Coturnix japonica: one gene and its partner. The protein of the gene in region 1 binds, or shares a complex with, the protein of each later gene. Links are inferred from orthologs where the notes say so. Each region holds a gene or a part of one and is shown in the gene's direction. Other genes may lie near its edges.

Region 1 (3,817 bases):
AGTTTTGGATTAAAAGAGAATTAAAGTACCTACTTGAAAGTGTCTGAAAAATAATAAAGCTTGATTAGCTATCTCTGAAGTGGAAATCTTATGGCTAAAACTCTGGAATAAAAATCATTTGAAGAATGGTGGTCTGTTTTTGAAAGGAAATGGTTGATGCTATTTTTTTTCTAGCTTGGAAATTAGAAAATTAAATTAATTAATCGCATTCACTCAGCAATTTTCCCACTCAATCTGGTGTTCCTATTTTCTAAGCTGCTGGGATTGTAAGCAATTATAGAGGGCAGAGTTAGTTTACAACATGTATTTGGCGCTCTTAACTTGCAGTAATAATGCATGCTGTGTCACTGTAGTTCTTTGTTAGTAATGATGCTTAATCAGCCCACAGTGACAAAAAAAAAGGAAATTTTGATCACTTTTTAGAAAAAGTTACTTGAGGTATTAAAAAAAAAAAAAAGGCTTATAAAAATTCTTTCAGGGAAATTTGTCTCCAATGGGTTATCTGTACGAGGACGACAAGACTTAGAAATCCAAGGGCCTCGACTGAATAACACAAAAGAAGAGAAAACATCTATTAAGTATGGACCTGACCGACGTTTAGATCCCATTATTACAGAAGAAATGCCTTTATTGGAGGTACGCAGTAATTTTTCTATTCACAGGTTTGAACAAATGGCTGAATCTAGAGCTACAGTGTTTCAAACAACAAATTCATAAACCATGTTAACATTTAAGTTTTTCATGCTAATTTATGACCTGTTAGTTCCAAGTCTGTGTTTTGTTTCCCAAGAGAAACTTGAAGCCTTCCAATCGTTGTTGTTCTGAAGTTGTCCCTTTAGAATGTTTAGTTTGTGACTTTTATAGCCAAATTACTACTGGATATATGCAAGGGGCAAATATGTTATTTTTGTTTGTTTGCTGTAAGTCCAGAATACTTCAAGTTGGTTAATTAAAACTGTGATTTTTCTTAAAGTGATCTACCTGGTTAATGACAGCACTTAAACTATAAGTGTTTTAGTTGTTTTTTTTAATGCCTGTTTGTAATTTGGTTCGTTGCTCAGAATCTTTTCCTCCTGTTCTCTCCAATACAGGTGTTCTTTATAAACTTTCCTACAGGACTTCTCTGTGGAGAAATCAGAAAAGCGTATGTAGAGTTTGTGAATGTAAGCAAGTGTCCTCTTACAGCGCTGAAAGTTGTGTCCAAGCATCCGGAATTTTTTACTTTTGGTGCAAATACTGCTGTTCTAACGCCACTAAGTCCTTCAGCTTCTGAGAACTGTAGTGCTTACAAGACTGTTGTGACAGATCCTACCTCTGTGCGTACAGCACTACTATCTTCAGCTTCTTCTGTAGACTTTGGGGTTGGCACGGGAGGTCAGCCTGAGGTAATACATGTCCCACTTCCTGATTCGATTCTTCTTCCTGGGGCATCAGTGCAGTTGCCAATGTGGTTACGGGGACCAGATGAAGAAGGAGTTCATGAAATAAACTTCTTATTTTACTATGAAAGTATTAAAAGACACTCAAAGATGTGGTAAGTTTTGTACTTTTCTTTCTCGTCCTTCTCATTGAGCTGTTAATAAGCACATAAACTTGAGCTTTAAACTTACTGAGATGTTCAAGTGGCTTGTCTGTAATTTTAAAATAATATTTATACAGTGTTATCTGATTTCTATGTGGAGTTATACGTGAAGTTTGATTTACACTCTGTTTTATGGCTCCTTTATGGAATACTCTTGGGACAATGGGCATTTGAGTTTGATATCACAAGCTAACAGCATTTTCAATGTATTGAAGTTCACTTATTCTAGTTCCGCCCTTGTCCCAGGCTATAAAGGCTCAGGAGAACTTTTCTGAGGAACTAGTTCTCCAAAGATTCTGGAATAAATAGTTAATTGGTCTGAAAAGTGAAGACCAAAGAGGCCATAGCATAGTTTTAGCAAACAGATAAATTAAGAAACGAAGAGTCTCTTCCTCCCTTCTTAACCCTTCTATACTGTTCTTACAAGACTACCTTACAGTTGTTATGGTTCAAAGCTACAGCTGAAGTTTAAACAGGCTTTATTTAGTTTTCAGCCTTCTAAGAAAACACGTTGCAGACTTAATAAATGTAATTATATATTTTTCTGGGGGTAATTCTGCTACAGAGATGAATGTTAGATTTGTTTGTTGGGAGAAATGTTCCTTAGCCTGCATTAAGTAGCAGCACGGACTAGAAGGAATGCAACTGTGGGTCAGGATGGGGAATGTCATAGAATACAGTTTCAGGATGATGGTGCTTGAGGTGTGTAATAGAAGAATGTCGTCTTGATGATTGAGGAAATAAATTGTCTAACAATGTTAATATTAATGAGAAATGTGAAAGGTGGACTTGATGAGGTGCTCTGGACATCAGTCTTGGTTCTTCAGAATGTCTTTCTCCTCTCTTTCCTGTTTCCTAGTCATAGAGTACTAAGGCACACTGCAGTTATTTGTACTAGCCGGTCTCTGCATATTCGAGCTACTGTCTGCAGAAGTAATGCACTTGAAGATGAAGAAGGCAGAGGGGATAACATGTTGGTGTTTGTGGATGTAGAAAATATCAATACTGTAAGTTCTTAATTTTAATAGTGATAGTGTTCTTAAGTTCAGTGTATGTGTAAATGTCTCCAGTGGAACCAATGTTTAAAGCTTTTTTTGAACTATTGCTTTGACTGGAAATATTAAGTAAGCCTTTCATACTTAATCATTCCAGTTAATGTTAGTGCGTTCTTTCCAACAGTAAAGCTATGTATCAGAGCACTCTGGGAATCTGCTGTATAACTGTCTCTACCCCTAAATGTATGTGATCTCAAGCCTTTTTCTTTCAGTACCTTTTGGAAGATTATTCCAAAGTCATGGATGTTTTTGACGTTCATGACTTTGAAAATAGACCTGAATGAGACAGTCTGTATTGCTGCCCTGTGTGCCACACCCTCAGTAGAATTAGTGACATCTGAGGGAACATTCTGTGTTTGTATTTAGTAGAACTCCTGAACAAATTTTTGCAGGTATAATGGAAGCGCAGACATATCTGTTGTTGTCTGTTGACTTAGCAGAGCAGATAACAGTGTTTTAGTTTTTCTTACCATGCTAACTCAAGTGTACTCAACGTTTTTTAGTTAAAGTTTGTTTCGATTTTTCAACCATAAAGCAAGGTAATCAAATGTCCTGCTTATTAGAATTCCTGAATGTGTAAACGGTGGTAGAATCATGGAGCTGATTTGTCATTTTGTGTTGTGTATGCTGTTTTTAATTCAGCTACTAAGGTGAGGAGGAAGAATGTGCATTTGTCTAATTTGCAGATCGCACTGTGGAACTTAATTTTCTGCTGTTGACTCCTCCTTTCCATGAAAGAAAAACAACCCTGAATGTTGTTTATCCTCATATGTGTATATATGTAATAAAAATCCTGAACTCCTGGGTTTTAGGATCTTGCAAGAAGGCTGAAGTAATCTTAGAAACTAAATGCCCTTTCAGGCAGTGGTTTCTGTTGGAGGTTTTTTGTATCTAAAATGCCACCTTGGGGGAATTTTTCTTTGGGATTTTCTTTCTTTGTGTAGTTTTATTCACTAGAATTAAATTTCTTGGATTGTTCTACGTCATAGTGGGTCTTTGATCCCCCCTTATCTCTCCTCTGTATTATATTGCACATGGTTTGAAATGAGGAGTTAAATGGATTTTCTTGCCATGCCTGTTTGTGACAAATGCTTACTTTGCAATGAAGAACTTGACAACTATGACTGCTCTTATCTGACTTTTTTTTTTTTTATTTCCTTCTTAGAGTGAGACTGGTGTT
Region 2 (3,917 bases), on another chromosome or scaffold:
TGCTGAAGCAGGTTCCCTACAGTGGGTCATACAGGCAGACATCCAGGCAGGTCCTGAATATCTCCAGAGAAAGAAACTGCACCACTTTTCACAGAATCACACACAGAATCACAGAATGACCCGGGTTGGAAGGGACCTCAAGGATCATGTAGTTCCAACCCCCCTGCCTGGCAGGGCCACCAAACATACACATTTACTAGATCAGGTTGCCCAGGGCCCTGTCCAACCTGGACTTGAACATTTCCAAGGACGGGGCATCCACAACCTCCCTGGGCAGCCTGTTCCAGGGCCTAACCACTCTCCTAGTGAAGAACTTCCCCCTAACATCCAACCTAAATCTACCCTCTTTTAACTTAAAACCATTTCCCCATATCCTGCCATTGTCAGCCCTTTCGAAGAGTTTACTCCCCTCCTGGGAGTAAGTTCCCTTCAGGTATTGAAAGGCTGCAATGAGGTCACCCCGCAACCTTCTCTTCTCCAGGCTGAACAAACCCGACTCCCTCAGCCTGTCCTCATAGGGGAGGTGCTCCAGCCCCCTGATCATCTTTGTGGCCCTCCTCTGGACCCTTTCCAAGGGTATATAGGGATATAACCAAGTACAGTTCACAACTTCTTGTTAAGTTCCATGTTCTACCCTCAGAATAGGAATGGGGCGGGGGGAGAACCTGAAAAGGAAGAAACAGCTTGAAGAACCTACTGGAGACTACTGGCATCTCATCCACACAGCACAAAAAAAGAGAAGGCTGCTAGAGAAGCACACAAGAAGCTGACAAGGAAGCAGAAGCCCAGGGCACGCCGGAGACACAGCCGAGCATCGCAGCAAAGGGACACGGCAAAGGAGCAGCCCCAGCGGGGCCTCTCAGCTCACCGAGGGCCTCAAGGAGCGGCACAACGGCTCCTACGGCTGCTGAAAGCTGAACCGACCCTCTTCCATCCGCACCCACCTGGAACTCCAGCCCGTAGATGACCGGCGCGTCGTCCTCCATGCCGACACACACCGCCTGCCTCTCCCCTCTGCTCCTTTCTGACCCTCGGCGCTGCCCGTCGGCCGCTTTACGGAGCGGACCCGGCGCAGCCGCAATACCGCCCTCCTCGGCCGGCGGAGCAGGCGCAGTGGGGAAGAGCAGCGGGGGCGGCGGGCCGAGCGGTGAGGTGAGTAGGGGTGGACGGGATCCGATGAGACGGCAGTGGGGCACGGGCCTGCAGGAGGGCGCAGAGGAGGATGAGGAGAGTAGGTGCCCGGGGTGCTGCGCCCACCTTGAAGCTCCGGGGGGACCCTGCGGAGGCCCCGAACCTGGACGGCCTCGGTCTGTGCGGGAGGGGCCGAAGCAGCGCCAGTGTCAGTGTTAGTGTCAGTGTCAGCCGTGCTTCCCTTCCTGCCTAGGCCGGATCAGTCCTTGCAGGCACAAAAGCCGCTGTCTTGCTGCGTGTGCTTAGGTGGATGTATCTGCCAGCGAATCCCAGCGCTTGGGGTTTGCTCGGAACGCTGTGGGCTGAAGAGAGACGTTTTGTGATTTCATTCCTTGGGCAGATATTGGAGGAAAAATGTCAAACGGTGACATGTCTGTGTTTTTAGTGTAAAAGTTACAGTTTTTGTTTGGTATGTGGTTATTTGGAGTGGCCAAACTAATTTCTGCGTATCCTTTCTCCCTTCAGTGCCATGGAGAATAGTACAGGCAGTGCTAAGGATGCTCAGAGCACCTTGGATGAAGAGGACGGAGGAAATGCAACTCAGCAGAAAACTCGGGAAGAAATCCTTTTTCATGAGGAAACCATTGATCTTGGTGGTGATGAGTCTGAAGGGAATGAAACTGTATCAGAAGATTCTAATAACTTTATAGATAAGCTTAATGAACAAATGATGGAGAGTGTCATTATTTCAGACTCTCCAAACAACAGTGAAGATGACACCGGTGAACTCGGTTGCCTGCAGGAGATTGTAGAGCAAATGGAAGCTAAGGATAACCAAAATACTCAAGCAGAAGTGGGCAAAGAAGAGCTTTTAAGTAATGAGAGTGAAACTGAACATGAAGAGACACCCAAAGACATCTCTGAGATTGGAACTGATGATCAGGCATCTTTAAAGGAGGAATCAATTCAGGAAACAGAGAAAGATGAACCAAAGTTGGGAAACAACATTCCCGTTGAAACAAAGCCAAATGGTATTGAGGAAAGTAAACTCGATGACCAGACATCATCGCCCAGAACTAGCAAACCATCTGCTGAGGTTGAGCCTATCCCTGTGTGTACTATTTTCAGCCAAGCAAACAATGCTAATGCTCAGCCACAGCTGTTCCTGCCTGATGGCTTCGAGCCTCAGATGGTGAAATCTCCCAGTTTCAGTAGTATCATTGAGACTCCAGTGAAGTCTAATCCACAGGTGGTTCAGCCCAGTCCTAGTCTAAGCAAGTTCTTTGGTGATACTGTTAACACTAATACTTTAGCTTCAGATTTTTTTGATTCATTTACTACGTCCAATTTTATTTCTGTCAGTAATCCCAACGCAAGCTCTTCAGTTCCAGAACAGATGTCCTCTTTGTCAAATGGTGGAGAAGGTTCCTGTGCTCAGCCCAACCCTACTTTCTCTGTGGGAAATGGGAGACCTGGAGCAAGTGGTCCTCAAGCATCACTAGAAACAACACAGTCCCCCAAGCCATTCTCACAAATCCAGGCTGTATTTGCTGGGAGTGATGACCCATTTGCCACAGCCTTAAATATGAGTGAACTAGACAGAAGAAACGATGCATGGCTTCCCAGTGAGGAAACCAGAAACGTTCTGATCTCAGTTGCCACACAACAGTACAGCACTGTATTCATAGACAAAGAGAATCTCACCATGCCTGGATTAAAATTTGATAATATCCAGGTAAGAGTCTGTGGTTGTACTTTGGTTGTTCGTTGTATTTTAGAAATGCTAAATAAGAGCTTTCCAATAACGTGTTTAATGTAGTGCTTTGTTGCCAGCTGCCCTTTTGTACTACTCACATCCTTACTAGAAAATTTAATGACACTGTCTACTAGTACCTGAAAGGGCTAAAACAAAATCTGAGTCAATTTGTTAGCTATATTGGAAACCAGTATTGACAGCCTACATAAAATCCAGAGCTGGATCCAAGTATAAATGCACATGTATGAAAGTGCATAAGTGGAAAGATGACATTACAGTAGGTCAGTGTAGTATATTTCTATGTAAGACCTGATGCAAAATCAGCAAGGGGATCAAGGGGGCTTCCTCCTGCTTTCTTTGTTGTTATTTATAAGCAAACAGGTTAGCGTAGTCCAGTTTTGAGGTTCTCTATGGTTACATGAATTGCATTACATCCAGTTATTGGTTTTCAGTGGCCTGCTGTTCTCTTTCACTGGCCAGACATCCCTTGGTTTGCTGTCATTGTTCTCTATGATTGTAGGGCTTTGGATTGCTTATTTAACTGAAACTATAATTACGAAGTACTCAAAATGCCAACTAAAGCGTTTTGGGAGGCATGTTTTAATGTTAAATCAGTTTCCAATAATTCATTAAAGTTTCAGTATGAATATGCATTTGTAAACTGGAGGAATGACATCTTTTTATAGGGGCAAAGGGGACTAGTTTTAAACTAGTAGAAAGGAGATTTAGATTAGGAAGAAGTGTTTAATTCCATGGTTGGTGAGGCACTGGTGCAGTTGCCCAGAGAAACTGTGGTACCCCATAGAGGCCCTCAAGGCCAAGTGGAATGGGGCCCTGGGCATCCTGAGCTGGTGGGAGGCAACCCAGCCCATTGGAAGGGGTTGGAACTGGGTGGTCTTTAAGTTCCCTTCCAGCCCAAGCCATTCTATGAATTAAGCTCTATTTGAGTTTCTTGATTAGCTTCTGAAATCTCCAGAAGTAGTAAACACAGAACTGCAATGGTCTTGGGCTGCAGTTGGGAAGATGTTGA

The links.
Region 2: TRAPPC8 (region 1) and TRAPPC12 share a complex: the UniProt entries of both Homo sapiens proteins name them as parts of the multisubunit TRAPP (transport protein particle) complex. The link is inferred for Coturnix japonica from reciprocal best matches to the Homo sapiens genes TRAPPC8 and TRAPPC12.

Annotation. Positions count from the first base shown.
Region 1 is NC_029517.1:96,035,922-96,039,738, reverse strand, and holds part of TRAPPC8 (trafficking protein particle complex subunit 8), read left to right. Parts: intron 1-478; coding exon 479-636; intron 637-1,091; coding exon 1,092-1,534; intron 1,535-2,441; coding exon 2,442-2,589; intron 2,590-3,802; coding exon 3,803-3,817. UniProt on the Homo sapiens protein: Plays a role in endoplasmic reticulum to Golgi apparatus trafficking at a very early stage. Maintains together with TBC1D14 the cycling pool of ATG9 required for initiation of autophagy. Involved in collagen secretion.
Region 2 is NC_029518.1:85,458,894-85,462,810, forward strand, and holds the start of TRAPPC12 (trafficking protein particle complex subunit 12), read left to right. Parts: upstream 1-1,069; 5' UTR 1,070-1,152; intron 1,153-1,160; exon of another isoform or gene 1,161-1,231; intron 1,232-1,656; 5' UTR 1,657-1,660; coding exon 1,661-2,866; intron 2,867-3,917. Other genes in the region: EIPR1 (EARP and GARP complex-interacting protein 1), read right to left, coding at 945-986. UniProt on the Homo sapiens protein: Component of the TRAPP complex, which is involved in endoplasmic reticulum to Golgi apparatus trafficking at a very early stage.